Linked DNA regions of Neurospora crassa OR74A. The protein of the gene in region 3 purifies or fractionates together with the protein of the main gene of each other region. This does not show direct contact. Links are inferred from orthologs where the notes say so. Each region holds a gene or a part of one and is shown on either strand. Other genes may lie near its edges.

Region 1 (4,166 bases), on a different chromosome or scaffold from region 3:
GCATCTGCCCATTTGCATTGCATGGTCTTGAGGCCTCGATGGCTGGTATAGCATGGCTGCGTTGTCTTTTTTGAAGCTCGTTGCTTGATTGTTTTGGAGTTGAAACTCTCGAACTCCCCAAGTCTTGTACATCTTATCATGCAGGCGGAATATTTGGCGGTATTGACGTCCAGCTAGGCCTCGAGGAGTACCTTTGAGTCGGGTGGCCATCTCAGTCTCGAGCTAGATGATGGAGCCTCAACCTTGTGCTGGAGGAAGAAGTAGCGCAGCGTGATCTAACAAACTACCAATCCTCTGTTGATATTTTTTTCCACGGAGAGCACATTACAAGAAGTTTACCATCCCTTTGATGATATATTGGTGAGAGATTCCATAGTATTTTAATGGCTCTGTGTGGCACAACTTAATCGGAAATCTAGTGGAATGGATTCATGACCAGAAACTTTTCAACTCCCTTCAAATGCAGTGAGGCTACCTAAAAGATATAGTGTGGTATGTACAATACTTGCTCTTTCTACTTTCTCCTTCTCCTTTGTCTATGAACAGCTTGGCTGTCGCGAATGCGATATAACGTCCAGAGCACTTTGTAACAAATTTCAACAGGCGATGATTATTTGGCTCTCTTCTTCCTCATTCTCCGCGTTTCTCCCATGTCCCGCTCCGTCAAACGAGGTAGACAAAACAAGACAGAACAAACGTACGTATGGTTCCCATCTTCTTCCTCTATTCCTCCTCTTCTTCCTCCTCATCGCTCTCCTCCCCCTTAGCCCCCGCTCGCCTAGCAACCTTGGGCACCTCGAAGATAGTAGCGCCGTTTCTTCCTTCCTTCATGTACTTCCACCTTCCCAGCCTCATCTCCTTGCCTGTGGCGACCACGATGCAGATGCCGTCGCGACCGCGGTTGCCGCGCTCGAAGATGGCAATGTCATTGATGATACCCCTAATCAGCCCGCTCTCTTGCTTCTTCTTCTTGTCTTGCGACCCATCCACCGAGGCCTCGTCGTCCGCTTGCTCCTCCCCACTGCTTGCGGTTGCAGGTTCCTTCTCCGCCTTTGCCTTCTGCTTTGCTTCCTCCTTCTGCTTCTGGGCCTCGGCCTGGTCAAGCTGCTGCAGCGCCGTGCTGGAACCGAGCACGCCAACAGGCAAAATCTTCTTCTTGTCCTCGCTCAGGCGCCACACGCGCACGAAGCCGTCCCAGGAGCCCGAGAGAATGACGTCCGAGTACGGGATGGTGCGGAGGGCGGTGATGGCGCGGGGCTGCGGGGTGGGCACCACGCTCTCGTCCGGATTCGCGTCGGCAGACACCTCGGTCGGCTTGAGCGGCGGGTCGATGCCGTGCGCACACGGCTGCGTGAACAGCGCCTTCTTGCGGTTGATGCCCCACAGCGAGAGCGTGCCGGCCGAGTCGCCAGTCACAAAGAGCTCGTCGTCGATCATGGCCACCTGGTCCATGGTGCCATCGTGGTTCACCGCCTGGTCCCGGTTCTTATGGGATTTCTTCTCCGACACGCCGCCGCGGAACACGAGCTGCGACTCCTCGGGAACCTTCCAGTAGCGGGCGGTCCGGTCGCGCGCGCCAACGGACACGCAGCGCTCGCCGGCCAGAGCGTCGATGTCGGGGATCTCATCCTGGTGGCCGAAGAGTGTTTCAACGTAGGCGAGCTCGTCGAGCGACCAGACTTTTACTGTCCGGTCCTTGGAGGCAGAAAATATTTGGTTAGTGCCGCGGCGGAAGGCGAGCGAGGTAACGGCGTCGCGGTGCTGGGTGAAGGCCCGGAGGGGCTTGAGGGTCTCGGCGTCATGGACGACCATTCGCTTGTCGGCGCCGCCGGTGACAACAAACTTGCCGTCGGCAGAGGCCCTGACCGTCAGGATGGCCGCGTTGGTGTGTCCCTGGTATGTCTTGTCCTTTGCCTTGATCGGGTTCGCCCTGTTGAAGCACACTCTCTCGGGTTTCTTCTTGGGCGGCGCAGGCGGCTTCTTTGGCTTCTTCTTGGTCGTCTGTGGCCACTGGTTCTTGGGTAGGTCTTGTAGCTTCCACTTGGTAAGGTAGCCGTCTTTCGTGGTGGTGTAAGCGTACGGCGCGCAAACCGAGACTGATGTTACCGTTCCTGAATTCCATCGAAACTGTGTGTGTGCGGCCTTGTCAAAGTCGAGCTTGGAAGCCAACTGGCGGTAAACCTTGCCCTTGGCCTCGGCCACATCCTCCTGAAGACGCTCGGCCAGCAAATCACGGTCAATCTGCTCGGCGTCAAAGGCATACTCGTCCTCCAGTTCCACCTCTTGTCGTGCCTTGTCCAGATATCGCTGTGCCAATCTTAACCGCTTCTCAGCCGCCGTCTCTCCTTCGTGGTCCGACTCCTCTTCTCCTTCCGACCCGTCCTCTCTCTCAATGTGGTCGCCATCGTCACTGTCAATGTCGCTGCCGGATATCGACTCGTCGCGCTCAACGGCTTTCTTGGGGGCTGCGGGACGTGATTTGGCGGCAGGGCCTCTGACCGACGATGACTTGGCAGTCGATTTGCCAGTCGCAACTCGCTTCTGGGGGGCTTCGTTGGCAGAGGCACGCTTCCTCTTCTTTTCCCCAGCGGGTGCTGTGAAAAAGGACGACATGGTGTTGGCAATTGCGGCCCGGGGCGGTCGGTGCAAATGCACTGGAGTCGTCTGGTGGTAGAGAATGACACTGGAATGTGAATTGGGGTCGCGTTCGGCTTCACTTCAACGCTGCTGCATGGCTATCAAAGTTGAAATTTTTGGGATGGCCGTTCGCGCCTAGACACACCCGACCCGATGGACTTCGAAGAAAAAAAAAAGTTGCCCACCCTGCAGGCTTTCTATCGGTGGAGTAGCACGCCGATTCGTCAAGATCTCCTCCACTGGCTTGGCACAATTGAACGAGTCGGAGAAGGGAATCCCCGTGCCGTGCACTCTACCTTATTGCGTCACTAACAGATATAGGGGCTCTGTCACGCGGAACCGAGCTAGCGAGCTGTTAGTAGTCGGCTGGTGGGGAGGCTCTTGCTGTCTCCAAAAGACGTCCCCGGGCCATCCTGGCAGGTTTCATGACGGAGTGGGGCTGTCTCTCTCGCTGTCTGCTTGCCTGCCCAGTGGTTGCAGCTTTCAGCCCTTCTGGGGACTGGAATGGAAAGATGGAAGACGATAGCGGGCACCTGAACAGCCTGGCCCGTGCTTGTCTTGTCAGCTTGCAGGCTGAAGCTCCAGTGCGCGTTCCCCGTCGCCGTCAGTTCAAGCTCCAACTGCCCTGTCCCGCCATAGGTAGGTAACGACGAGAACCGTGCAAGCCAACGCAACTTGCCAAAGCTTACCAAAACAACAGCATATCATCCATTCACTCACATAACAATCAGCCAAAATGTACGTCGCATCGGTCATGTCTTGGAGAGGTGATATCAGAGCTGATCAGCATGTAGGGAGGTTTTACTAGGCATCACGGGCAAGGACTTTACCATCATTGCGGCGTCCAAGGCCGCTATGCGGGGAGCGACCATCCTGAAGGCATCCGACGACAAGACAAGGTCGCTGAACAAGCACACACTGATGGCATTCTCCGGTGAAGCTGGCGACACAGGTACGGCAGCGATATCGTGATGATGGCGCTTTTGAACCAAACCAAGTTAACCAACTGTTTGTTCCCATCGACAGTGCAGTTCGCCGAGTACACCCAAGCCAACGCCCAGCTCTACTCCATGCGCAACGGGACCGACCTTTCCCCTTCTGCCCTTGCCAACTTTGTCCGCGGCGAGCTTGCGACGAGCTTGCGCTCCCGCAAACCCTACAACGTAAACCTCCTTCTCGGAGGTGTCGACCCTATCACCCACAAGCCCAGCCTCTACTGGCTCGACTACCTTGCGTCGTTGGCGAAGGTCCCCTATGCCGCCCACGGCTACGCACAGTATGTGATCTCGACCGATATCTCTGTACCGTCTTTGATGCGTAGGAGTCATGTACAGAATCACTGACCGGTTCTTTCCTCATCAGATACTACTGCCTCTCGATTCTCGACAAGCACCACCACCCAGACATCACCCTCCACCAGGGTATCAAGCTTCTCAACCTGTGCACCGACGAGCTCAAGAGGAGGTTACCCATAGACTTCAAGGGCATGACGGTCAAGGCGGTAACGAAGGACGGCATCATCGATATCG
Region 2 (4,159 bases), on a different chromosome or scaffold from region 3:
AGACAGATTCGACCAAGAGTCGAACTGCACTGCCGCCATAAACCGAAGATCCGTCCGAGCCATGAATAAGGGCAGTAACTGATAGAGATGCCGAAGAACGAAGAGAAGCAATCTGTCGCAAGTAATCCGTCTGGCTGTGTAGAGGAGATGCATCGGTCGATGGTGCTGGCCAGGTACAGCCATCCGCTTCCACTCCATCCAGACGCTCGAGGGACGTTGGATGACGAAAGGCGGGTGCAGGAATCAAACCATTTGACCAATGCGCAATCTGCTACTCCAACAACCCGCCGAAGATCTTGTTCCAAGTAGATACCATGTGCGAGCAACCGCAGTCTCATTCCATAGGACGATACCTGCCGGCCACATGTCCGGAGCCAGCGCCTTGACCTTTAGCAGCCGAGCGCAGCCTATTATCGCAAACTGAACGTCAGCCATCATGTCAGCATTCTACCTCCGGCCAGCGTTATTGAGTACACCAAACTCGAAGGAAACAAGATTCCTTACTAGGAATGCTGGGCTAGGCTGGCAAACTCACATCCTGTCGCTGCCACCGACGGCACGGCTGGTCTCAGGTGTCTCGCCGGTCATGGGCTTCCTGGATCCGCTCCTCAGGGCCTGCTGAGGGTCCTTACGAGCAGCAGCCTGGGCCGCCTCCTTGGAGTCCGCAGGCTGGGGCTGGCTGGAGTTGCCAGCAGCCTGCTGGATAGCCTGGGCGTTCTTCTGGTACTTGTAGACGGTCCAGTCAAAGACGTAGTCATACTGGAAACCTTCGCGGACGAACAAGTCACGGAAGATCTTGCGGAGATAGCTGTAATCAGGCTTGTCATCGAAGCGGAGGGAACGAGTGTAGTTGAGGTAGATGGCAAACTCGTTGGGGAAGCCGCGGCAAAGAACCTCGGTAGGAGTGGTCATCTTCTTCTCCATGATGCGGTCGTACTTCTGCTTCTTGGTGGCAGCCTTAAGGCCCTGCCACGGGAGGGAGCCGCGGCAAAAGTAAAGCATGACGTAGCCAAGGGACTCCATGTCGTCACGGCGAGACTGCTCGACGCCGAGATGCGTGTTGATGGAGGCATAACGGGCAGTGCCAGTAAGGTTCTTATTCTCTCTGTAAGGAATGTGGAAGTGAGTCTTGGGATCTCTGTACTTCTTGGCAAGACCAAAATCGATCACGTTGACCTGGTTGCCACGCTTGCCAATCCCCATAAGGAAGTTGTCAGGCTTGATGTCGCGGTGGATGAACGACTTGGCATGGATGTACTCGATGCGGGAGATGAGCTGATCAGCAAGCAGCAAGACAGTCTTCAGAGAGAACTTGCGGTTGCAGAAGTTGAACAGATCCTCCAAGCTGGGGCCAAGAAGGTCGAGGACCATGGCGTTGTAGTCACACTCAGTGCCGAACCAGCGGACAAAGGGGATACCAACGCCACCGGCGAGAGACTTGTAAACGCGGGCCTCGTACTCTAGTTGAGGGTGTTTGGCCTTCACGCTCTCCAGCTTGATGGCAATCTCTTCACCGGAGATGATGTTGGTGCCGAGGTAAATGTCACCGAAAGAACCAGAGCCGATCTTGCGACCGATCCGGTACTTGTTACCGACGCGGAGATCCTAGCCTTCCAGTTAGCAGGATGCAACCTTTGACGTTGGCAACCAAAGGCCTAGGAGGCCGTGGTGATTCGGAATTGACGGATAAGCGTACCATGGTAGTCATGTTTGCGGTTAATAGGGGAGAAAGACGAATCCCAGAAGATCAGTAACTATAGCCGATAGATGTCAGTAAAAGGGCCATCAAGGTACGCATACGCAACGATGTCGAACGCTGAGCTGTCGAGAAAGGCCAGTGTCGTCCCAGGTGTTCGGGTGGGAGTCCTTGCCCGGCTCGGTCACAATAGGTTGTTCGACTGCTCCATGAAGTGGCCCATGTGTCAATGGTGACGGCAACATTTCCAGAAACCTCTGCAAACACATCCACATCGTGCATCGCCCTGGAAGACGGAGCGTCTGGACGGCGTGACAACACTGTCCATCAGGGCTATGTCGACACGGACGTGTTCAACGATGGCCTGGGCGACGCTGCCATCCTTGGGGAGCATTGTAGTGATGCCATTCCCACCATCATGCCAAGAAGGGTGTCGAGGCTATTGAAAAGCCTATCAAGTCGGTGTCGTGACCGATGGCGACGGTGTGCATCCGGGCAAACAGCGGGCAAATGCGGCCAGCGCGGGCAGATTGGTTGGCGGACGGGCCAACAATCAGCTCACCGATACATGGCGGCAGCTGAGTGGAACCACCACAATGCGTGCAGCAACCTCCCTCGCTCGCTGGGAACGACAACCCGTCTGACGGAAATGATGATGGAAGTTTTAACTCACTCTTCGGCGGGATGTGTTCTCCTTTTGTAAACGGTCGTCGCAGACCGAATGCTGTGCTCAAGGGTCGTCGAGACCAGGATGGCAATGAATAATCGAGAGGGGCGTGCGTGCCGAAGAAGGCTGCTTAAGTGATGTTGGAGCGTCGGGGGCGATGAAATGCAGCTCAATCTGTACGGGTATGTGTTAAAATGCAGTCGAGACGAAGCGTGCAGCGGCAAGCTGATGGACGCGGGCTTGGTGTTGATGTATGGTGCAGCATGCGGGGGAAGAAAAAAAACAAGAGATTGTTTTGGTGGTTGGGGTAGGTTCTCTTACCGTCGTCGTCGCCGCCGGGAAATTTTAGGTCGTCGGTGGTGAGACGGGGGGCGAGGGAAAGGACGATGTGAAGAGGGAAACGAGACAGCGAGAAGGGAGGAGGAGGCAGTTTGGTGACTGGGACCGACTGGGACTTCTGGACAGCCGACCGACCTGGGGGACTGGGGACTGGCAGGATTTGAGACGGCAACGCCAAGTGCCAGCCAGGCTCGCCAGATCGACCAGGCCCAGCCAGCGCGCGCTCTTTTGGCTTGGTTCTTGGCGGCATCCAGCTGGCGAACTGACGGGAAGTGGAGGAGCCGTGATCCACCGCCGCCATCCACAGTGTCACAGTGCGGGCCAAGCAATAAGCCGGACACAGTGCCAAGGTGAGCGAGATGGCAAAAAATGACTGGAGCTCTCTCACTGCACCGTCGGACAGCGAGCCACCTCAGGCAAGGGCCAGGCGTCCCAGGCCTGCCAGCCCAGGGCATTGGAGGGCGGAGTTTCATGTGGCTTCTGGGCGCGCCCTTTTCTCTGGCAATGTCCAACTGTCATCCAAAGATCTCCGAATGCAGGCTTGCTTTTCAAACAAACAAAATCTGCTGATTTGCAGTTCCCCAACAGGCAAGGCAAGACGCCGGCAACACCTTACGACGGCAGGATAGGATGCAGGCGGCACTGCAGTGGACATTGCGTGGGCAAGGCAAACGTGCTGCGGTAAGGTAAGGTAACCGAAAGGCTTATACTTGATGATGCGGGCAGGACCGCACCGTACCTCTACCTCTACATACCTCTATTTACGAGGGAAGGCATGATACACCGCGCCTCCCATATTACGCCCTGTGAATGTGGAAGAGGTCGGAATGAAGGCTCAGCGTTTTGTTAGGCAGAAACTGGACGGGGCCCAATAGCCAATCCAGTGCCAAAGTGCCTGCCTGCTTTCAGTTCGTTCTCTTGCTGTACGCAGTACTATTGAGAGTCTGTGCTGTATCATATTAGCTTGGTTGGCTCCCGGTCCCAAAATTAATACTAAATCTGACTGGTATACGTTACAACAGCAATTGCGACAAATACGACATCCATAACCCATCCGATATCAGCTTCGAAGAGAATTGAACGGCACTTTGATCAAGTCAGGTGCCTTCTCTGACTACTTTAGAACACTACGCAGTACACATTCTGTGACCAATGTCCCGCTTCTTCCCCGTTCACAACTGCATCATTGTGATGTTTCACTATGGAGACTATACGACAGACGGAATGCAGGAGCCCTCTTTCAAAAGATCAGACGAAGGGACCAAAACACAAGCAAGGCGCATCGTTCAACCATGGCGGGATTGACAGCTCGGTGTAGTGTACATTCTGCGTACGACAGGGCTCTGTACCATAATCACACAGACAGTCGTTTGCAAAAGCGATCAACATTCCCCACCCCGTGGGACAAAACCTCTGCGACTGGCGTCCCGACAGCTTGGAACATACCGAACAAAAGC
Region 3 (4,227 bases):
TGGGTTTCCCGAACAATGGGGTAAACACTGATGCTCCTCATCAAATCGCGGCCAGCTCTCGTTGTGGTGAGGAGAGTAAGAGTTTCTAGGTGTGTCAGGATGTTGCTGCTGTCGGGATCGCGCTGCTTGTCTGGAGGCAATAGCTGAAGATCGGTAAGCATTTCCAATGCCTCATCCTCGGGATAAACTTCGCCGCCCATGATAGGAAGTAAAATGTAGGGTAAGATATTGACGTCATCCTCATCCAAAAACGCCGGGTGCGAAGGAATGTCAAAAGCAGCGTTCTTGATAATGCTCGCCACTCCCTTTCGCCTGATATCGGACTTGTGTTCGGTAAAGACCTTGATCTTGTTGATTGGAATAACATCGTCGTAGTCCTGTCTGTTGACAAAGTAGTGCCGGATCTCTTCATGTTTCGAAAGGTCGGCAAAGACGTAGGAGAGGTAGTCGTAATCGGCGTGCTTGTTGTAAGTCCCGTCGGCGCCCTTGACGAAGAGGTCCATTAGTTGGTTAATGACCCTATCGTCGGACTTGAGCTTCTCTGGAGCGGGCTGTTTCCGGTCTAGAAGACTTTTGAGTCCATCCCACTTGGTCAAGTTTGCCAGCAACATAGCCATAAGATTGGCGTTAACCTCCTCGGGCTCCTATAGGAACGGGATCGAAGCGGTTAGTCCTTGCTGCGCACGCACCGTAGGAGCTCAGAATGGATACACATACGACAAGAAGCCCGAGGAGGATTCCAAGGAAGCGATCATCGGTCGCGACGTATTCCAGCACATCCTTCTCGGCAGTCAAGTTGATCAAGCATGTTAGGGCGTGCTCGGCGATTTTCTGCACATGGTACCGACGTCTTAGCTGAAGCTGCTTGGGCGCAAACAAGACAAGTCTGTTGGGCCTACCGGGTGGTCGCGGATCAAGAACTTGAGATGCTTGATGGGGGTGAGCTCGTCGGTCTTGAAGAGGGCGGGCTGAGACGCTGAGAAGGGCACCAGGTTCTCTGTCGCGAGAAGGCGGATGTTGGCGTTCGGCGAGGCAATGAAGCCCACGAGCTTCAGGCGATTATAGCGATTAGTTGTCTGTCCACTGACATTGACACTGCACTGGTTCTGGCAGAATTACCTCTTCAAGTTCGGTCGGCATGTTATCAATGGTAGCTGGATGTATGGTTGTATTGGACTTGCTATAAGCTCGTAACCGTGGCGAGCGAGGCTATGATGTCGCGACTTCCCTTGCTCTTATTCATGCAGTGGGCCAAGCTGCAAAAACTGTAAACACAGGGAACAAAATTCCAGGAATTTGCAACCGAAGAGGGGCACAGTGACGAAAATGCGGGGCAATAAAATGTTTATCGCTGCTCCGCCGGGCGCGTCCAAGCTAGACGATAAGCGATAAGAGGTATTGTACCGCTTATCATTTTCACCGCCCTGGCATCAGAAAATAAAGTGTGCCCACACAGCAAAGAAGTGACCAACCACAAGCGTAGCGCAAGCCTTTCAAGTGCCCAGACTTCTCCACGGCGGGAACAAATTGTCCAAGGGTCGCCGAAAAAAATATCCCCAATTGCCGTGTGCAGCCAAGTCGACATCGCAAAGAGAGGGGACAACCAGGAGAGCTCCGTATCATCAACTCTTCCCCCGATTGCACAACCCTACCGCCATTCAAGATGCCCAAGACAACAGCGGCGACGTCGAAGAGGCGCCACAACCCCCTCGAGGCCGACCTCGTTTCTACCGGCGTCCTTAAGAACAACTCCGGCAAAAAGAGCAAGAACACTCGCGCCGCCAACGACGAAGATGAGCAAAAGTATGTCGACGCCAAGGCTTCGCGCAACATTTTGGCTATGAGCCGTAGCCTCATCGAGGAGGAGGAGAACCTCCGGACAACACAAAACGCAGCCTCCGGATCTGCTCCTTCGGCGTTCGAGTTCGATCCATCGAGATTCGACCGCAACGATGACGAAGACGACAAGTTTGAGAACGACGAGGCCTGGGGCGAGGAAGAGGAGGAGGAGGTAGAGGAAATCGAAGTCGACGCCACCGATCTCGAGACATTCAACCAGTTTATCACACCCACAATGAACGAGGACCCGCTCCTAACACACGGATGGGATGGAAAGCCAGAAGGGGCAGAAGAGCAGGGTCAGAGCGTGAACCTGGCGGACCTTATTCTTGCCAAGATCGCAGAGAAGGAAGCCGGCGGCCCCCAAGGCGGGTACCGCGACGAGCCTGGCCCAATTGATGAGGATTACGAGATCCCCCCAAAGGTGATGGAAGTGTTTGAGAAGTAGGCTGGCCGTTATTTCTGTTACCCTCTTGGCAGACTACTGACAGACTCCTTCTCGCAGAATTGGCATGATTCTTTCTCGCTACAAATCTGGGCCGCTTCCCAAGCCTTTCAAGGTCCTTCCTCAGATCCCCCACTGGGAGGACATCTTGCCCATTACACAACCCGAGTCCTGGACTCCCAATGCCTGGTATGGTTGCTTCTTCCTGTTTTCGGGAGCCAGAGAAACGCTGCTGACATTTGCGATTGTTAGCTACGCGGCCACCAGGATATTTGCGTCCGCCAAGGAGGCTGTTCTTCAACGGTTTATGGAGATGGTGATCTTAGAACGCGTCCGCGAGGACATTCACGAGACCAAGAAGCTCAATGTCCATCTTTTCAACTCCCTAAAAAAGGCCCTCTACAAGCCTGGTGGTTTCTTCAAAGGTGTGTTATTTACTGCCTACGCTTAGTCAGGTTTGCTCAAAAGGGACAACCCAGCTAACCGTTGGCAGGCTTCTTGTTTCCTTTGGCGGCTTCCGGAACGTGCTCGCTGCGTGAGGCGCAGATCGTAGCCGGTGTTTTGACCCGGGTCACCATTCCGGCTGTTCATTCCGGTATGGCCATTAAGGGCTTGTGCGAAATTTCTTCTGCGCAGGCTTCTCAGCGCCTCGACTGCGTTAGCGCTACGAATTTCCTCCTCAAGACTCTGATTGAGAAACGTCACGCCTTGCGTAAGTCCAATTCCTAGCGTGCCAATGATTGTATTCTCTGACTTTGTAATACAGCCTTCCAAGCGCTCGATGCCCTCGTCTTCCACTTTCTTCGGTATCCCGCTTTCGCCACCGGCGGGCATATGGCACCCAACGCTTTACCAGTCATCTTCCATCAGTGCATGCTCTCATTTGCACAGAGATACAAGACGAACAGTGAGTTTGCTTCTTCCGTCGCTGTTTCACTATGCGTCCCTATTATTTTTGAGTACTAACCGCGGTCTTTGTGTAGTTACTGAGGACCAGCGAGAGGCTCTCCTGGATCTTCTCCTAACTCACGGCCATGACAAGATTTCGCCCGAGATCAGGCGAGAACTTCTCGCAGGTCGCGGAGGTGGTGTCCCTGTCGCGCAACCCGGATTTGATGGCGATGACACGATGCTGGACGCTTGAAGAAACATCGGTGATCCGGTAATGACTTATAGACGATGAACCCTTGGTATGCAACGAGGACATGTGGCTCATTTTTACCTGGTACGCGCATAGAGATGGGAGTCGTGTTGTTTAGTGACCTTGGTGGCTTGGGGCAGTCCTTAGACATTGACCCCTTTGATAATACTATGTCACGCCTCGACAGTGGCTACTACTCATCACGCCGCTTGAAGAGGAAGTGGTCATGCCAAGTCAGTCACCATGTACTACCCTTTGTATCTTAGTGGTGCTGACCAACCAGCAACATAATTGTTGACGACCTGTAATGCTTTAGTGCACGAAATTATAAATTCAAGATACCCGGTACAGCAACAGGAATTGTCGAGGAGCCTTGGAATAATCATTTTCAGTTATGTGAAGGAAGCTGCCTTTTGACTTCTTTGTTGCGTCAATCTGGCTTGGAATGCCCTTCTCCCATTTTTCCAAGTCCAAGGCAACCGCGATCCTCTGCCACGTTGTCGGAATCCTGAGAGAACAGTGTAAAGGGAAAGAAGGCAATGTAGCTCTCGCCTACTTCGATATCTCGTGTATCTGATGGCATCATCCCGTATTAGGTGCTTTTACCATACGAGTTTCTAGTGTTCTCTTCCTAACACCCGGTCAACCCGAACATTCTAAGCACTCCGCCCCTCTCGTTTCCCTATTTATTCTTGAGATTGCTTTCTTACCCCGAGACACCAAGTTCTACTCAGTATTTCCGCAAGATCAGGATTTTCGGCGCTGCTTTCTGGCGTTTCGCCTAAGAATCCCGACACCACCT
Region 4 (4,195 bases), about 1.3 Mb from region 3:
TACTTCAGCATCCTGTTTCTCGTCCGAGAATCAGAGATGGAGTAGATGGGAAGAGACTGGAATCGGCGCCAGCCGAGGGAGAAGATGAGGGGATCTCCCGTCTTGAGAATCTTCTTGTGCCAACGGTGCTTCTTGATTCTAACTTGCACAAAGCCGAATCTGTCCTCCGTGGCCGAAAGACCTCCGACAACGATCGGCATCCGTGGCTTAAAGTTCTTGACGAACTCTGCTGGGACACCCTCGATGACCATCCTGGCGTACTTGCCGGCCTTGTAGCCTTCGACAGCGATCCTTTGGCTTTCATCAAGGTTCTCGTATTCCGCCTTGTTGATGTCGAGCTGCTTCTGGATCATGGCCTTTTGAGCATCATACCAGTCGTCCTCTCCAAACTCGTCATCATTGCCACCTTCTCGCCTGGCAATCGCCTTGTCGTTCTTGAAACCTTCACGATCTTCCTCTTCGAAGCGAAGCTTGAGCTCCTCCTTTCGGCGGGCGTTCTTCTCACGCTCGGCTTCAAGGCTTTCTGCTGGCTGCTCCTCTCCTTCCTCCTCTTCTTCTTCTTCATCCTCGTCGTCAGCGCCGTGCTTCTCCCCTGTCTCGAGATCCTCAAAGGCACCGTCACCTTCATCATCGTCGTCCTCGTCATCAAGACCCTCGAAATCCGAACCATCTTCGCCCTCGCCCTCAGCGTCGTCAAGTAGGTTGGCGGTGGCGAACTTGTTTCGGAGAGCCTCGACAGCGTCCTTGTCAGACCACTTGGCTTCTAGTTGTTCGTAGTCGAACTTGGGAATCATGCGATCCTCCCAAGAGTCCTCCTTGTCCTCCTTGCCAGTCCTCCGGAAGAAGGTTTCGTCGTCCTCTTCGATATTCTCTTCGATCTCCTCCTCGTCGTCTTGACCGGCCCATTTCTTGATGGCTTCTGTGGGGGCCATCGACTCGTCGTACATGTACCTCGCCAAGTCGACAGCGCGGAAGGGTTTCCTCCTTCCGTGTATCTGACTTGCGCGCTCCATTATGTTGTCCTTCCACTTGAGCTCAGGATCCTCCTCGTCGTCCTCGTCATCGTCAAAGTCGGATCCTTGGTCTTCATCGCCGGATATCGAACCAAGGTCGGAGTCACTGTCGGCAAAGGCGATGTCCTCTTCTTGGTCGTCGTCGGTCTGTTTCCTGAACATCTTGCCCAGCTTCATCTCGTTGAACTCGGACTCGACATCGGATCCATCCTCCATCTCATCTTCCTCTCCGCTTTCGAAGCCTTCGTCCTCTGGCGGTTCACCACTCTCACCATCGGCAAGTCTGGCGGTTCTTCGGCTCTTGCGGCCAGTGTTTCCGACATCCTCGTCCTCGACAGGGAGCTGGTTGATCTTTTGTCCGCTCGCGAACAGCTTGACACCCTCGTCCGTTTGACCAAGGAGACGCCTCTCGTTCTGCAGGTCGATGATGAGCTGTTCTCCTTCGCCGCGCTCAATGCCCACAGCATCCTTGTCAAATGTGAAGCCGTTCTCCCTAGTGATAACGATGTGATCGCCAGTAATTTTCAAGCCGCTGCGGTCCGCCATGGGCGCCCAGAGCTTTTTGTCCTTCTCGTCGAGTCGCCTTCTGCCAGTCTTGCCACTGGCCTTGGCCAGCGCTTGTTCCATAGCGGGAGTCGGGCAAGGATCCGGCAATTGTTCCATCTCTTTGATTGTAAAGTCGCCCAAACCAGCAATATGTACCCTTTGGCCCTCGGCGGAAAAGTTTGTACCACGGAGGTAACCGGAGAGTTCAATCGTTCGGTCGCATTTCTCGTCTTCTTCAATCTGGGTGGGGTGGGTGACATCGCGGTAGTTGTCGATGATGGTGTAAGGGTGGGAGTTGCGCCAAACGAGCGGGCGGGGGTTCTTCATGACGGACAAGAAGCGGGAGAGGTTGTGGATTTCGCGATCGGGGTAACGGCCGTTCAGGACACCGGAAAGGTAGAAAAGGTGGGCACCCTGGTAGAGTTCGCTCCAAAGTCTGTGCTTTAACCTCTTCTTTGCCTCCTTTAGTGCTTGGGGCTTCCTGAACAGGTCGAGATGGGTGAGGATGCCAAAGACGTTGCCGGGCATACCCGTGGCGGCAAGAACGTTAAGGAACTCCATAGTCTCCATTTCGAAGCCGAAGTTTCCATCGATCATGAGAAGGACAATGTCGGCGACCTTTGCAATATCGACCATGGCCTCGAGTTCGTTGGCGCATTCGATGAAGGTCAATCTCTGCTTCTTGGAGGTGACGACCGTGATAGGTCCCACCGGATCTTGGATGGTTTCCTTTGCATATCGTCGGATGAAAGACTTGAGAAGGGTGGTCTTTCCTACGCCAGGGGGGCCTACGATGGCGACGAGTCTTGGGGGTGGTTCATCGGGGAGACGGTCGACGGCGGGGACATGAAGACGCTTCTCTTTGATCTGCGGAACAAGACCAGTTAATTATAAGAAGTCATTGAAGGATGGAGCGAGGGAATGTCTTCTTACATCGTGGGATCTGGCGGCTTGTCTGGCGAGTTTACCAGGATTGGAGAAGGCAAAGGCCTTGGGGTTCTTTTCTGCAGGGACGGTCAGCTGTGGATAGTAACGATAAAAGAAACAATTGAATACACATACCACCTGTATGCTTGGAGGCCCCCTTCTCCTTGGACTTCTTGGAAGCCCGATGGGGTTTGTGGGCTTGGACGTCGGCCATGATTACGGCTGGTGTCCGTGAACTTTTTGCAAGTTCAGTAGTATAGATGGACACGCGGTCGCGAAAACAGGTGCAAGTGGAAATGCGACGGGACTCGCTCCCAATTCAACTGCTGCCAAAAAGCTGCTGTCCAAATTTTTTGGATAGTCGGTTTTCTGATGGAACGCCAAGACGTTTATCGATAAGCGATAAGATACCTGAATAGTGGGACCTCTTTCCGCGGCAGGCGACGGGACCTATCCCCGGCAGCACCCGCTACTAAGCAGTGGCAGCATGCGGGGAGTTGGAGACCCTGACAGGCAGTCCCGACCTTCAAGTCTTGGAACCTTGAACAACAGACGAACCCAACGTATAGTCCCGTTTCTTATCTTCAACCAACTACTGGGTGAGCTGTGTCTTCGGAGTAACTATTTCCAAAGGTTTATACGAAGATATTCCGTTGGGTGGTTGAGATATCTTGTGCTGTCTTGAGCATGACCAACCTAACTACCTCTATTGTACCAAGCCCTCCCTCACTGGTGGAGACTACATACCACGCTATGTAAATGCATTGGATTGTTCAGGGACCTCCCAACAAACGGTTGAAGAAGAGTCGAGACCATGAAAGAGCTATCATAGTTGATAACTTGCGGCCTCGACATAGGAACGTCGAATGGGCCCGCAAAGTCAAACAGCCATGGGCCATGGCAGCCCTTCTTGCATAACACACCATTTTGAGGGTTACATACGTAATTGTCGCGGGAAGGAGGGTTTCCGATTTACACACATGAGGAGGGTATGGCGTATAGGCTAGGCTCAGAGTTACAACAGATAGGTAACAACATCCAAGATCCTGAGTAGCAAGATGGTCGGAAGATGACTGGATCCATCCTCCCACACCACTCCTAGTGTCTCAGCCCGCGCCTAAGCGCTCGTTAGGTGGTTGTGTGCAAGGCTGTCTTGTTGGGCGCTGAGATGAAGGATTGTCTCTGTCATCCCCACGCCTGGCAGCCAAAAGAGTGTCACAAGTCACAAAACGACCTGCGGTAGGCGCAGCAAGTCTGGTCCAAGTGGATATGACGTATCATCCGCTCCAGAGAATGCTAATGTCCCTGGTGCCGCGTCACTTGTGGCTCCTGACGGCGTGGCAGGAAGACCAATCTAGCATGATTGCCGCTTATCTGGCACATGTGCATCTGTGGTGTAGGTAGTTCGAGTCCACTTGTGCATGTCCCTTGATCACGTATAAGATGCTCCTTCGTCCGCTCCTCGAGACGCAGTACCGACTTTCCAAGTTCACGACCAACCACTACACTCTGTTTCAACATTTCCATACAGCAACACCAACTTTTTCACCAAACAACCCTCCCACCACCGCAAAGATGCCTTCTTACATTGTAAGCATGCCGCACTCGCGCCTCACACTACCCATAAGACTCTTATTGACCTCAGCTGTTCACTATGTCAGGTTACCCTCAAGGACACCGCTACCGATGAGGAGATCGCCAAGACCAAG
Region 5 (4,253 bases), on a different chromosome or scaffold from region 3:
CCCTCCTTGCTACCGTATCCGGGCTTTCCGCTGGCTCGTCCTTTTCCAGCTCCACCGTGATGTCCGGCTTCGTCTGATTTTCCCTCTCGTAGCCCGGTGATACAATCGTGCCGGGATACACAATGTGCACCTTGACCGGGTTATCTGGGTAGTAATTGACCTCCATCGCCAGGGTATCCGCCAGTCCTCTCAGCGCCCATTTGGTTGGGGTGTACGGGCCATAGCCCAAAATCGCAAAAAGCGCCAACATTGACGCGGTAAATACCAAGTGCTTCGGCTCTCCGTTGGGTCCCGTGCTGTTTTCGGGTGCCAGCCACTCCCTCAAAATCGCCCGCGACATCTCCGCCGACCCAAAGTAGTTGACGTCCATGTTGCGGCGTGCGGCCGCCATGCTGCCATCGTCGGTCCACAGCAGAGGCGTCGACATGCCGGCCACGCACCAGACGATGTCCGGGGAGCGCCCGCCATTCCAGGCGATAGCTTCGGCGAGGACCGCGGCGGCGTAGTCGTGCTCGGAAACGTCGGCTGAGATGTAAGTGAAGCGTTGTGTGGACGGGTTCTTGGCGGCGGCGCGGACGTCGACGAGGGCTTCTTCAAGGCGCCCGACGTTGCGCGAGACGAGGATGACATTGGCGCCCTTTTGCGAAAGTTGGATGGCCGCTGAGCGGCCCATGCCTTCGGAGGCGCCGGTTAGGAGGACGGTCTGGTAACAGGGGTTGAGTTAGTGTTGTTTGGAGGTCGGGTCAGGTCGGGTGAGGCTTCGGGGCGCATACCCGGCCCTCGACTGGCATGTGGTTTTTGGAGCTGAAGAGACCCATTGTAGCAAATATGCCAATGGCCGCGACGACGGCTGCAACTGGGAGAGACCAGGAGGTGCTGAGGGTTTTCAATTGTTCCATCAGCGACTCTGAGAAGAGATAATGGTTCATCCTTCCTTGGATCGTGAAAGAAGATCGGGCTCGAGGAAAGTGGAATTGTTGACGCGGCGGCGCCTAAGCTATTCTGTATACGTCTAGAGTACGAACGAGTACCTCTACGGCGTAAATTTAGTGGATGCTGTCAGCAGTTCCCGTCGTACTGGAGCTTACACCCCTGTCTGTAAGTGACTTGTTGATGGGTGATGATTCGACCGATTTCTTCGCACTCCGTAGGAAAATGAGGTTTCTGGAACCATTTGCTGGAGTTTGCGTTTTCGAGTCTTCAGAAGCGGTTTTCTCTACTGTCATAACTGAACCCATTGAGGTCATGTCAACGTAAATCTGGCAGGCCTGGGGGGCATCTTGGAGCTTCCCGTCGACCCTGAGGACGGGATGGAAGCTTTGACCATTTCAGATGTAACTGTGGAGCATCTTCAATTGTGGGGTTAGGCAGCCTGCATGAGAGTGGAGCTGGGCGGTCGAGGTTCCGCTGAGAATGGATCGCAAATTGACAAGAGCAAAAAAATTCTGCCGCTTCAACATTTGTTGCCCGCCTAGCGAACGAACCCACCAGCCCATTCAACGAGCATCTCCAAGTGCCTTTTGGCAGCGTCTTCACGTCAACGTTTCTCAGTCGCGCCAAACTCCATCCAACACGCCTGAATAGATAACCGCGACACAAACGCAAAAATGGCGAAGAAGAGAAAAGCCCCGAGACCGACCGGTCCCGCCGAGCCTCGCGAGGTCGATGCCAAGGACGCCCGCCTTACCGTTAAGACTTACAAAGATGTCGCCAACTCCGAAGACGAATACTGGGAGAACCAGGATCGCATCGACTTTGACGACAGCGATGATGGCAGACAATCCAAGCGCAGGCGCCAAGACAAGGAGGAGGAGTTCCTAGAGGCTTCTGACGAGGAGGTTTTCGAGGAGGACGAATCCGATGAGGAGAGCGAACACGAAGACGCCGCGCCCGCGAAGGGCAAGAAGGTCAAGACAACAGTACTTTCCGACGAAGAGATGGGTGGTGAAGAGGAGGAAGAAGGTGACGAAGGATGGTGGGGTTCCTCCAGAAAGGACTACTACAATGCCGACCAGATCGAGACCGAGGCCGATGCCTTGGAGGAAGAGGCTGAGGCAAAGAGGCTCCAGGCCAAGAAGTTGGCCAAAATGTCCGAGGCCGATTTCGCGTTTGACGAGAGCGAATGGCTAGGAACCAAGGAGGAGGCCGAGGGAGAGGAGGATGTCATTACCGAGAAACTCAACGAGATCGAAGTCACAGAGGACATGGGGCCGGAAGAAAGATACAAGCTTCTACAGAGCCGATATCCCGAGTTTGACTACCTGGCGCAGGAGTTTAGGGAGCTGCAGCCGATTCTCACAACTCTTCAAAAAGAGGCCGAGGGCAAGCCTGCCAAGTCTCTGGAGATGGTCAAGTTCTGGACTCTTGGGTGTTACATCGCTTCACTCGCCAGTTATTTCGCTATCCTGACTTCGCCAGCAAGAGACAGCCAAGGTGTGTCCAAGACGATCAGCCCTACGGAACTCAGGGACCACGAGGTTATGGGCACGTTAATGAGCTGTCGCGAGGCCTGGCTTAAGGTCAAGGAACTCAAGCCGCTCAAGAGCGTCTCCTCGACCAGCGGCATGCTTTCGCCACCCGAAGATGAGGGCGAGTATGATGACCTGTCTGACGACGATATGGAGGACTTCAAGAAGATGCTCAAGAAGAGCAAGCGCGAATCCAAGGCTGAGCTCAAGGCCAAGGCGAAGAAGGAGGCCGAGAAGGCCAAGAAGGCCAGGGCTGTCGAGCAGTCTCTTGCCGATCTCTCCAGTTTGCTTGAAACCACCAAGACGGCAACCAAGGCCAGCAAGAAGTCTGTCAAGGTCGACAAGCGCGATGACGATGAGCGCTCCGACTTTGGTGACGAGGAGATCCTTGAAGCTCACGTGGCCAAGGAGAAGGCTGCTCGCAAGAAGAGTCTCAAATTCTACACCTCCCAGATTGTGTCCAAGTCCGCCAAGCGTGCGGATGCGGGTCGCAACGCCGGTGGTGATGACGATCTTCCCTACCGTGAGAGATTTGTAAGTCGGCCATTGCCTAAAAAACATGCCGTGTTGTCATATACTGACTTTTGCGCAGAGAGACAGGCAAGCACGGCTCAACGCCGAGGCCGAGAAGCGCGGCAAGAAAGACAGCAAGCACGGCGCCGTGCTGGGCGAGGGCGACAGCGACGACGAGGACAAGGCCGTTGCCAAGCAGGTGCGCGGAGAGGAGGACGAGTACTACGACATGGTGGCGCACAACGCGGCCAAGAAGAAGGAGGACAAGGCGGCCAAGTACGAGGCTTTGGCGGCTGCCAAGGGCGCCCGGGTCGTGGAGGAGACGACGATCGGCCCCGACGGCAAGCGCCAAATCAACTACCAGATCCAGAAGAACAAGGGCCTCACGCCGCATCGCAAGAAGGAGAACCGCAACCCGCGTGTCAAGAAGAGGATGAAGTACGCGGAGAAGCAGAAGAAGCTCAAGAGCGTCAAGGCCGTGTACAAGGGCGGCGAGGGCAAGGGCGGGTACCAGGGAGAACTGTCGGGTATCAAGACCGGCTTGGTCAAGAGTATCAAGCTTTCTTGATAGGGCTCTGGTTGTCGTGGTTGTTGGACTGGTTTGTAGTACTCTGGGTATATCATGCATGTATAGATTTTTGGGTTGTTGATAATCATGGCCTCAACGGAAATGGAAAAAAGCAGGCTTGCACACACAATGGCATTGTATTTCTTGAACACACTTGATACCTCTTCAAGATCTACAATATCTACAATGTCCAGTATTCTCAACACCGGAGGTCGCCGGTACTCGCACCCTGTTCAATCGTGTTAGTACAGGTTCATGGTAAACCCCGGGTCTGAGAATAGGGCTATATAAGAATCCCTCTCATTTTTTTTCTTTTTCTTTTCCATCCCAATTTTTAGTTCCTCTTCGTTTCTGTGCCCTTCCCTGGCATTTCTTGTGTGCCAGATTCCGAAAGAGCGAAGGCGATGTTGACTTGGAAAGGATACAAGGCCTGCGAGGGAGCCAATAGGAGCTCTGAGACGAATCAATGCAAATGCCCAAATCTCAACTTTGGATAAATGTAACACCACCACATGATAAATTATTAGATTGGGCAGTTTCTGAACAAACACAACATCCTAAACCGAACACTTCAATTTCGTTATCTTCAGTACAGGTATCTTCAACACGGATCGTTCAAGAAGTAGAGGTAATTTTTGGGATGAAACACTGGAATGTTAGAGCAATGATTAGGACATGCCACATTATTTTTTTCCAGTCCACCA
Region 6 (3,701 bases), on a different chromosome or scaffold from region 3:
ATACCCAAAGCCCGGAGGTGGGCTCCCATTTTCTAAGGGCACAACTACAACTAGTTTGGTTGTGTTGATGGCTGAGCCACACTCCGACTGCTGTTTGCCAACCGGTCTTCGAGCCAGATCGAGACAGGAGAGCCATCTACTTGATCCAATAACGCAGGCCGCGCTAGATCTAGGGTAGCCCACATCAATGGCCACGGATGAGCCACAAACGACCCGTATCCTTCCCTCCAACTATCCCAACCCACGCCGTGACCGTCCGATTCCATGTCGTTCGTTCTTCTTATCCAGGCCATGAGGTTCATGCCAATGCTGCACGATGTTGACGCCAGTTTCTGGGTACTGGTCAGGTCCACGAAATCGACCGTCTGACTTGTGGGAAATCAGGTGAACCTTGATCAACCGGAAAGGAGGAATCGAGGAAAAAAAAGTGACCATGCAAAGAGAGTCAAGCAGCGAGGCCGGAGTCCACAGGGCGCCTGAAGGAGTGGTGTAGGTGTTTTGGAAGAGATGGGAAGACATGGTCGCTTTGCTTTGCACATAGAGACGAACACAGAAACAAAATACTATCGAATATGTGGTATCGAACTCCGTATAGACCGAGCGAGACTCCGCTGCCTGAAAGTCTCATCAACAAATAGCCTGACAATTTTCCCACTAAGAAACGCCGCCCAATGCAAAAGAAAATAGTAAACGCATAGCGTGAAGCGCGAGAGACCGCACAAACCATGGCACACAAAAGCCAAGAACACCGCAATTACTCCAGCTTGGCCAGGATAGCCTTCTCTCTCTCTGCCTTGCGCTTCTCGAACTGCTTGACGGAGTGTTTCCTCTCGTTCTCCTCCCTTCTCTTGATGGCCGCAAGCTCCTCGCGCTTGATCTCGGCCGCCTTCTTGACCACCTTAGGCAGGTGCCTGTGACGGGAGATGCGCTTGATCTCGGGCATGTGAGAATACCTCTCGACCAAGGTCTTGTTGTACTCGAGCGCCTGTCTCTGCTTGGTCGCCTTGACGCCGCTGCGTTCCGAGGCATTGGCACGCCACAAACGGACGTTACCCTGTATATCACGTTAGCTGTGCTGATCGAACAGTTGGAGAAAAGAAAGGAGACAACGTACATCGTCACTACCGCTGAGAAGGTACTTGGAATCCATAGTCCAGGTAGTCCGGAACACCCTCTGCATACGCTTGGTGTGGTACACATCGCGAGACATGCCCTGGTCACGGCGCCACACCCTGATTGTGCGGTCATAGGAACCAGTCACGAGCTCCTCGCCGGTAGGAGAGAACTCGACGTCCATAACCGCCGCAACGTGGCCCTTTTGGATATTCTGCGCCTTGGTGAAGTTCCTGGCGTCGAAGAGGTAGACGTTGTGATCTTCTGAGGCAACAGCCATGTTCATCGCCTCCATGGGGTTGAAGACAATGCGGTTGGCGGCGAACTTGAGAACAGTCTTGATGACGGGCATGTTGGTGCGCAAATCGAACAGAATAACGGAGCGATCTGTGCCGACGGAACCCACGATCGAGGTCTCAACCTGGTTGAAGCAAACATCGGTGATGGTGTCGCTGTGGTTCGGCCACTGTATCGTCTGAGGAGCCGTGCTGTGCTCGAGATCCCAAATACGAATGCAGCCGGCGCCCGAAGAGGCAACGAAGGAGTTGGTGTTGCGGTGGAACGAGAGAGCCGTGTATGGACCACCTTCCTGCCATGTCGCGAGTGGCGTTGGGGAGTCGGTCTTGGTGTAAGGGTCCCAAAGCTTGATGCCGTCGGTGGCACATGTGAGAAGCTTCTTGTCGTTGGTGAAGGTCATTCCCTTGACGATATTGTTGTGGGCGGCAGCCTTCCATGCTTCATCCCGTGTTGTGAGATCCCAGACCTTGACGATACCGTCACCCGAACCGGAAGCGATTGTGTGTAGCGAGTTCTTGTCCTTGGCCATGCTGTAGACACCCTGAACGTGGCCATTTCCTAGCTGGCCGAGGAAGGGCTTGGCGAAGACTCTCTCCAACTTGACGGCATTGAGGGCTCTCTTGTACTCGCGAGCGCGCTCGAAGGGATGGAGTTCGGGCGCAAGGTTACGGGGTGCGCGGGTGACGTCGTTACCGGGGGCCTGCTGGGCCGAGATGTTTCGGCTGAGGGCTTTGATCTGTTGTAGAAGTGTCAGTGGTGAGCCTAGAAGTGGGTTTGCGAATCTTGATGGGCGTCGCGTGTGGTAGGCCCAAGTACCTTCATGGTGACGGTGTTTCTCTGTTGATGATGTTGAAGGGGTCGTGGATGAGAAGGCTACCAAGGCCGACGGATATCGAGTGTGAATAATTGTATATGATGAGGCCGGGTATGGCTGAAGTCTGTCGGTACACCTTGTCGCAAAGCACAGGTGCTGTGATACAGTTATCGACGTTGGAATTAATGAATGGATGGATGGATGGATGCCGGGAGCGTCTGTCGCCAATTGGGGAGCACAGTCGGACACGGGCAGTTTGACAGCTCCCGTTCCCCTTCCTCTGGAGAAATTTTGGCGGGGTCTGGCGGCAAGAATCTTGACCGCCTTCTTGGCAGTTTGCTAAACGCTTAGGCTTGGAATGTTAGAGCTTCGCTGCCAAAAGGATGGACAGGGCCTGAGCTACCGAGAGCTGGGCTTGCCTGCCGTGAATTGACAGGGATCTGTAGGTGGATGTCTCCAGCTAATTACGTCGCGCCTGGCTACCTAGCGGTGGTACGTAGTGTACAGAGGTCTCGTTAGTGGACATGCCGCCTGCACTTGACTTGGGTAACAGCTGTGCTCCAGCAGAGGACGGGTGGTGAGGTTCGTCACGACAGAACAACCTGAGCTCCAACTTCAACACCACAACAACCACAACTTCCAAGCCGACACTCTGCGACCACCGACACGCCGCATATCCCCCCGCGACCTCGAGTAATCACCATCACATCCAATCCGATAGCCAAACTCTCGATTTATACTACTACCGCTTACCACTTGGCGACCGGGACAACCAGCACACGACACCATGGCCCAGGGCGAAGCATCAGAGAGAGTGCGCGAGGCGCAGAAGGTGGTCTCGACCGACCCCCGCCAGGCCGAGCAGATTTACAAGGATATCATCTCCAAGCCGCCATCAGTCACCTCTGACGCGGCCATCCGGGAATACGAGACGGCTTTGATTCACTTGGGAGAGCTCTATCGCGACGAGAAGTAAGAGTGGCTGGTGTATGTCGTGGTCATCGAGGAGGGGTACGGTCACTAACCTCCCATCACCGTGTACAGGAACTCACAAGGCCTTGTAGACCTCGTAACCCAGAGCCGCACAGTTCTCTCCTCGTTCGCAAAGGCAAAGACGGCAAAGCTTGGTACGACCCCGCCATCAGCTTTGTTGACGCGCTATACAAGCTCATGAGGATACTAACACTGGTTGATACATGCAGTCCGCCAGCTCCTCGACCTCTTCGAAGCCATCCCCGACTCTCTCGACATCCAGATTTCCGTCACCAAGTCGTGTATAGAATGGGCCACATCAGAGCGCCGCTCTTTCCTCCGCCAGAACCTCGAAACCCGTCTTGTCGCCTTGTACATGGCCAAGCAGTCCTACTACGATGCCCTGACGCTCATCAACGGTCTCCTCCGTGAGCTGAAGCGCATGGACGACAAGCTCGTCCTCGTCGAAGTCCAGCTGCTCGAGTCGCGGGTATACCACGCCCTC
Region 7 (3,886 bases), on a different chromosome or scaffold from region 3:
CTGACCATTGTCGTACCGATGTTAGAAAGACTGGTCGTCAGTGAACCCAAGATGGTGTTGAGCAACGAGATGAGACCCCCGATGACCGCCGAGTTCGATTCGAGTGGGGTTGCGGCACTACCAGTACTTGTTGTAACCAAAAGAGTAGTTTGGGCTGGAGGATTGAGCACTAAAGACAAAATATCAGGATCGATTATCAGGCCAGGGGCACCCAATTCGTCTGACTTGGGCTCCTGAGGCTCACCATTTTCTACCTGGCGGTGGACATGTCGAAGGGCCGGGGTTGTTCCTGTCTCCTTGCTGTCCGAGACATGGTTGGAAGCGAGGCTGATGGGAAGAAGGAGTAGGGGTAGCAGGTAACGACCAGCGGACGGCATGGTAGCCAGAAAACGACTGTGTCTACCCGAAAGAAAGAAAAAGGAAAAGAGGCCAGTTGTGTAGGTAGTTGATACACTTCCAAGGGCAGAAGGCCAAAGCGGTTCCAAAACTCACAAGTCCAAAACCCGTGGTCCAAAAAAAAAAAGAGGGAAACGAACGGTGCTCGGCCTAGCAGAGTATTGGTGATGGAAGAGAACATGGAGAAGAGTAGAAAAAAAAACATCAATTGGGGATTGAGAAAGATGATGCTCTTTTGTCAAGCCGGAGAAGCGATTGCTCTTTCCCAGTCAACTCCTGCACAACCGCCATCATGGGAAAGGGGCAAGACCAACCGACCCCTCGAGGAACAGTCACGAGTGACTACCTAGATGGTATCTCAAGGTCAAGTCACGAGTCCCTTCCTACCGCGCTGCCTCTCGGACAGGCCATTTCCAGTATAGAAAGCAACTTAAGTGGAAGGCTACCTACCACTCCAAGCTTGGTCTCTTGTACGTGATTTCTGTGTGAACCGTGTCTGCTGAGCTGTTAGCAACCGCGAACCATACAGCATGTTAAGCTCGCAAACCAAATAAACAGCTGTCCGTAGTATGAGCAGCGACGACCCTTGACCGCATGGAACACATTGTCCCACAACGCTACCATCCATAACATTCACGTTGATTCGCTATTCGAATGGGGGCTTTGTCGTTGTTGGTCATTTCATCAATTTTGGGACTCAGGCCGATCGCACTAGGTATTTGGGACAACAGCCTTCATCTATTCCATTCCCGGAGCCCATGCAATCAAATAACCACAGACGCCCGAAAGAATCCTTCCATCCTCGCTAGCTGAAAACAACTTTCAACCAGTCGCTTAGTTGGCGTAACGCTTGCCCTCACGGAGGGTGTCGGCGAACTCCTCAAGAGGAGAGCGGGTCAACTTGGTCTCCTTCCACAAGTTGGGGGTAAGGAAGCCATAGGTGTTGGAAACAGCGGCGAAAGTAGCCTTGAGAGTGTTCTCAAGGGTCTTGGTAGAGCCGGAAGAGGAGGTGTAAGCATCCTCGATACCGGCGAGCTGGAGAAGACGCTTGACGGCGGGGGAGGCAACGAGGGAGGTACCACGGGGAGCGGGGATAAGCTATGAGGATCGCAGTCAGCGCCAGTTCCAGCTTCTCGGGTCAAATTCTGGGTATAACTTACGCGGACGGTGACGGAACCGCACTTGCCAGACTCCTTGACGGGGAGGGAGTGGGGGAGACCGAGGTTGGCGCCCCAGTAACCGCGACGGACGGGGATGACGCTGAGCTTGGCGATGATGATGGCAGCGCGGATAGCAGTAGCGACTTCCTTGGAGGTCTTGATACCGAGACCGACGTGGCCCTCGGAGTCACCGATGATGACGATGGCCTTGAAGCGGGTACGCTGACCGGCACGGGTCTGCTTCTGGACGGGCTTGATCTGCAGAGGGAGAAAACAACAATATCAGCATGCAGTTTCGTGGGGTTTCAAGCACAGTTCCCCCCAATGTCGTCGCGAATCCTGCGATTCTCGCTCCTCCCCCTCCTCAACCTCATCCTCCGGGCATCAAAGAATTCGTTGCTGCGCACCTTCATGACCTCATCCTTGAGCTTGGGGAGGAAGAAGTCGACGATCTGGTACTCCTTGATGGGGAGAGAGTGGAGGTAGATCTCCTCCATGCTCTTGATCTTGCCGGCCTTCACGAGACGGCCAAGCTTGGTGACGGGCTGCCACTCCTTCTCCTCGGACTTGCCGCCGCGACGGCCACGGCCACGTCCACCACGGCCACGGCCGCGGTCACCACCACGATCGCCACGGGAAGCGAAGCCGCCGCCACGGGGGCCAGAAGTTCCACGATCAGCCATTATGTCGGTTTGCCGGTAGGGTATCGGAGACGGAGGGTCTGTTGCTGGTCGTCGTCGTGGACTGGTTGAGGAGTGCAGATACTCGACGTTTTTCTCGGGCGCCTGGTGGGGGTCGCAGCTTTTCGCTGCGATTTCTGGATTTTGCTGGTGCGCTCCGCCTTTGGCACCAACCCTAACGCCCACCTCATTGGCTATCCGCGGGTTTTGTCCCGCCTGGCAGCCGAAAGGTGGGGTAGATTTGGGGTTACAGCTGTCAGGCTTGGCATGGACAATGAGTGTGCACGGACCAGGCTGTCTGCTTCTCAGCCCAACTGCTTGCTGTAGCTACCTACAGGGCTGGCCGTCGCACCGTCAGTCCCGCCGCGAACTTGCAATCGTGAACCTTGAATGCCGGGGCAGTTTCAACCCGTCATGGGCAAATTGAAGCCCCACTGCGATCATTGAAGTCCATCCCTCCCTCTGTAGGCCATCGGGGTTCTCACTCTTGTCATTACCAACGCGTGGAGATTTCAGTATCGGACTCGTGTCAACAAATCTTTCAATTTTGTCGATAGTTGTTGCGGAGTTCCTCACTGTCGCTACAGATTCCCAGTGAACACCCGATATCAACATCCATTTGCAAATGCACATTACCTTGTCGCATCATCAGATGGTTCAGTGGAGGTGTTCGTCTCTTAGTTGCGACATGTGCCTCCAGTCTGTCGGTCTCCATAGACTCATAGAGGCATCCAACTCACACAGAACGACCTGGTATTGCACGTTCCTCTTCCAGGGATCACACGCTGATATGATCAAGAAGAGAGCCGTTTTCTGAATAAGTGCCCAAAGGGCAAATCGATTTTCCTATTGTACCTAGCTGGAAGAAGGGGGCATCATCAGATTCCATCAAAACGCCTTTGCACCGGAAACCTAGCCTATAGTAGAGGATGAACTGAGTACCCAAGTCCAACACATGCTCCTGCGTTCCCGATATGCCCATGGCCATGACCATTTCCCTCGTAGGTAGAATCAGTAAACGCCTAGAGACGCCATGAGATGCTTGCTTGCTTATTTGCGAATGAGCAACATTCCAAAAGATAAGCCCTTCAAGCAGAGGGGTTGGCGTTCATCTGGATTCGATGATATGTCAGCACAACTGCGACCTGGAAGCAAAGCGTGAGTGAGCCCTCCTACCTTGCGCTTGCCGCCAGGACCGGTGACAACGTTCACGAAACGGCGAGTGTAGATTTCGCGCTTGTGAGCACGGCCCTTGGGAGTCTTGGGCTTTTCCTGGGGCTCAACCTTGGGAGTCTGAGACTTGACCTTGCCTGAAGATGGGTGTGAGTTTTGGTGATGAAGGTGTGGCGAAATGGCATCAAAAACTGCAACTTACCGGCACGAGCAAGGGAACCGTGAACTTTGCCCATTTTTAATGGTAGTGATGGAGTGGTGGTGAGTGGCTTTTTGTGACTGTTTTTGGGTGAGTATTGGACGGCGAATGGGCCGAAAGGGGGACAATACAAGGGTTTAGAATGATGTGAGGAAGGGACTCGGGATGTTTTATACCTGTATCTGGCAGGTAAGATATTCGGCCGTGTCAAACATTCACCGATGACTCCCGTCTGTTTTATCGTCCCGAAAAGGGCAGTCGGGAGCCAACCGCTACGT

The links.
Region 1: the proteins of NCU08323 (region 3) and NCU01367 purify together in Saccharomyces cerevisiae (affinity purification with mass spectrometry, with the first as the bait; 3 studies listed by BioGRID). This does not show direct contact. The link is inferred for Neurospora crassa OR74A from reciprocal best matches to the Saccharomyces cerevisiae genes ENP1 and RRP9.
Region 2: the proteins of NCU08323 (region 3) and ck-1a purify together in Saccharomyces cerevisiae (affinity purification with mass spectrometry; 8 studies listed by BioGRID, with this or other methods). This does not show direct contact. The link is inferred for Neurospora crassa OR74A from reciprocal best matches to the Saccharomyces cerevisiae genes ENP1 and HRR25.
Region 4: the proteins of NCU08323 (region 3) and NCU04348 purify together in Saccharomyces cerevisiae (affinity purification with mass spectrometry; 7 studies listed by BioGRID, with this or other methods). This does not show direct contact. The link is inferred for Neurospora crassa OR74A from reciprocal best matches to the Saccharomyces cerevisiae genes ENP1 and BMS1.
Region 5: the proteins of NCU08323 (region 3) and NCU00301 purify together in Saccharomyces cerevisiae (affinity purification with mass spectrometry, with the first as the bait; 3 studies listed by BioGRID). This does not show direct contact. The link is inferred for Neurospora crassa OR74A from reciprocal best matches to the Saccharomyces cerevisiae genes ENP1 and SAS10.
Region 6: the proteins of NCU08323 (region 3) and NCU01595 purify together in Saccharomyces cerevisiae (affinity purification with mass spectrometry; 7 studies listed by BioGRID, with this or other methods). This does not show direct contact. The link is inferred for Neurospora crassa OR74A from reciprocal best matches to the Saccharomyces cerevisiae genes ENP1 and SOF1.
Region 7: the proteins of NCU08323 (region 3) and NCU06047 purify together in Saccharomyces cerevisiae (affinity purification with mass spectrometry; 4 studies listed by BioGRID). This does not show direct contact. The link is inferred for Neurospora crassa OR74A from reciprocal best matches to the Saccharomyces cerevisiae genes ENP1 and RPS2.

What each region holds. Positions count from the first base shown.
Region 1 is NC_026505.1:3,791,120-3,795,285, forward strand, and holds NCU01367 (rRNA processing protein RRP9), read right to left. Parts: upstream 2,801-4,166; 5' UTR 2,614-2,800; coding exon 724-2,613; 3' UTR 408-723; downstream 1-407. Other genes in the region: pcb-4 (proteasome component C11, variant), read left to right, coding at 3,374-3,375, 3,432-3,589, 3,664-3,913, 4,000-4,166. UniProt on the Saccharomyces cerevisiae protein: Involved in nucleolar processing of pre-18S ribosomal RNA. Required for efficient pre-rRNA cleavage at sites A0, A1 and A2, and biosynthesis of 18S rRNA.
Region 2 is NC_026501.1:7,561,987-7,566,145, reverse strand, and holds the start of ck-1a (casein kinase I), read right to left. Parts: upstream 2,801-4,159; 5' UTR 2,685-2,800; intron 2,538-2,684; 5' UTR 2,370-2,537; intron 1,755-2,369; 5' UTR 1,709-1,754; coding exon 1,697-1,708; intron 1,606-1,696; coding exon 536-1,605; coding exon of another isoform or gene 532-535; exon of another isoform or gene 421-531; coding exon of another isoform or gene 411-420; exon of another isoform or gene 408-410; coding exon 335-407; 3' UTR 1-334. UniProt on the Saccharomyces cerevisiae protein: Protein kinase which phosphorylates serine and threonine residues. Can use casein as a substrate. Phosphorylates elongator complex member ELP1/IKI3 on 'Ser-1198' and 'Ser-1202' which promotes the tRNA modification function of the complex.
Region 3 is NC_026504.1:2,401,673-2,405,899, forward strand, and holds NCU08323 (bystin), read left to right. Parts: upstream 1-1,499; 5' UTR 1,500-1,663; coding exon 1,664-2,283; intron 2,284-2,344; coding exon 2,345-2,473; intron 2,474-2,536; coding exon 2,537-2,709; intron 2,710-2,777; coding exon 2,778-2,996; intron 2,997-3,050; coding exon 3,051-3,191; intron 3,192-3,267; coding exon 3,268-3,428; 3' UTR 3,429-3,727; downstream 3,728-4,227. Other genes in the region: NCU08324 (DNA-binding protein HGH1), read right to left, coding at 1-644, 718-831, 900-1,049, 1,120-1,140; NCU16789 (hypothetical protein), read left to right, coding at 3,871-3,946. UniProt on the Saccharomyces cerevisiae protein: Required for normal export of the pre-40S particles from the nucleus to the cytoplasm.
Region 4 is NC_026504.1:3,692,578-3,696,772, reverse strand, and holds the start of NCU04348 (ribosome biogenesis protein), read right to left. Parts: upstream 2,801-4,195; 5' UTR 2,701-2,800; coding exon 2,622-2,700; intron 2,564-2,621; coding exon 2,493-2,563; intron 2,427-2,492; coding exon 1-2,426. Other genes in the region: NCU16822 (hypothetical protein), read left to right, coding at 3,930-4,076, 4,148-4,195. UniProt on the Saccharomyces cerevisiae protein: GTPase required for synthesis of 40S ribosomal subunits and for processing the 35S pre-rRNA at sites A0, A1, and A2.
Region 5 is NC_026503.1:3,362,661-3,366,913, reverse strand, and holds NCU00301 (Sas10/Utp3 family protein), read left to right. Parts: upstream 1-1,458; 5' UTR 1,459-1,607; coding exon 1,608-3,002; intron 3,003-3,060; coding exon 3,061-3,549; 3' UTR 3,550-3,753; downstream 3,754-4,253. Other genes in the region: NCU00302 (3-ketodihydrosphingosine reductase tsc-10), read right to left, coding at 1-703, 774-929. UniProt on the Saccharomyces cerevisiae protein: Primarily required at the G2/M phase. Essential for viability: involved in nucleolar processing of pre-18S ribosomal RNA as part of the ribosomal small subunit (SSU) processome.
Region 6 is NC_026502.1:2,998,055-3,001,755, reverse strand, and holds NCU01595 (SOF1), read right to left. Parts: upstream 2,490-3,701; 5' UTR 2,233-2,489; coding exon 2,227-2,232; intron 2,147-2,226; coding exon 1,115-2,146; intron 1,055-1,114; coding exon 755-1,054; 3' UTR 501-754; downstream 1-500. Other genes in the region: rpn-6 (26S proteasome non-ATPase regulatory subunit 11), read left to right, coding at 3,012-3,196, 3,269-3,351, 3,427-3,701. UniProt on the Saccharomyces cerevisiae protein: Required for ribosomal RNA processing.
Region 7 is NC_026507.1:1,982,840-1,986,725, reverse strand, and holds NCU06047 (40S ribosomal protein S2), read right to left. Parts: upstream 2,403-3,886; 5' UTR 2,240-2,402; coding exon 1,964-2,239; intron 1,815-1,963; coding exon 1,557-1,814; intron 1,495-1,556; coding exon 1,231-1,494; 3' UTR 501-1,230; downstream 1-500. Other genes in the region: NCU06048 (40S ribosomal protein S30), read right to left, coding at 3,325-3,348, 3,413-3,546, 3,612-3,645. UniProt on the Saccharomyces cerevisiae protein: Component of the ribosome, a large ribonucleoprotein complex responsible for the synthesis of proteins in the cell.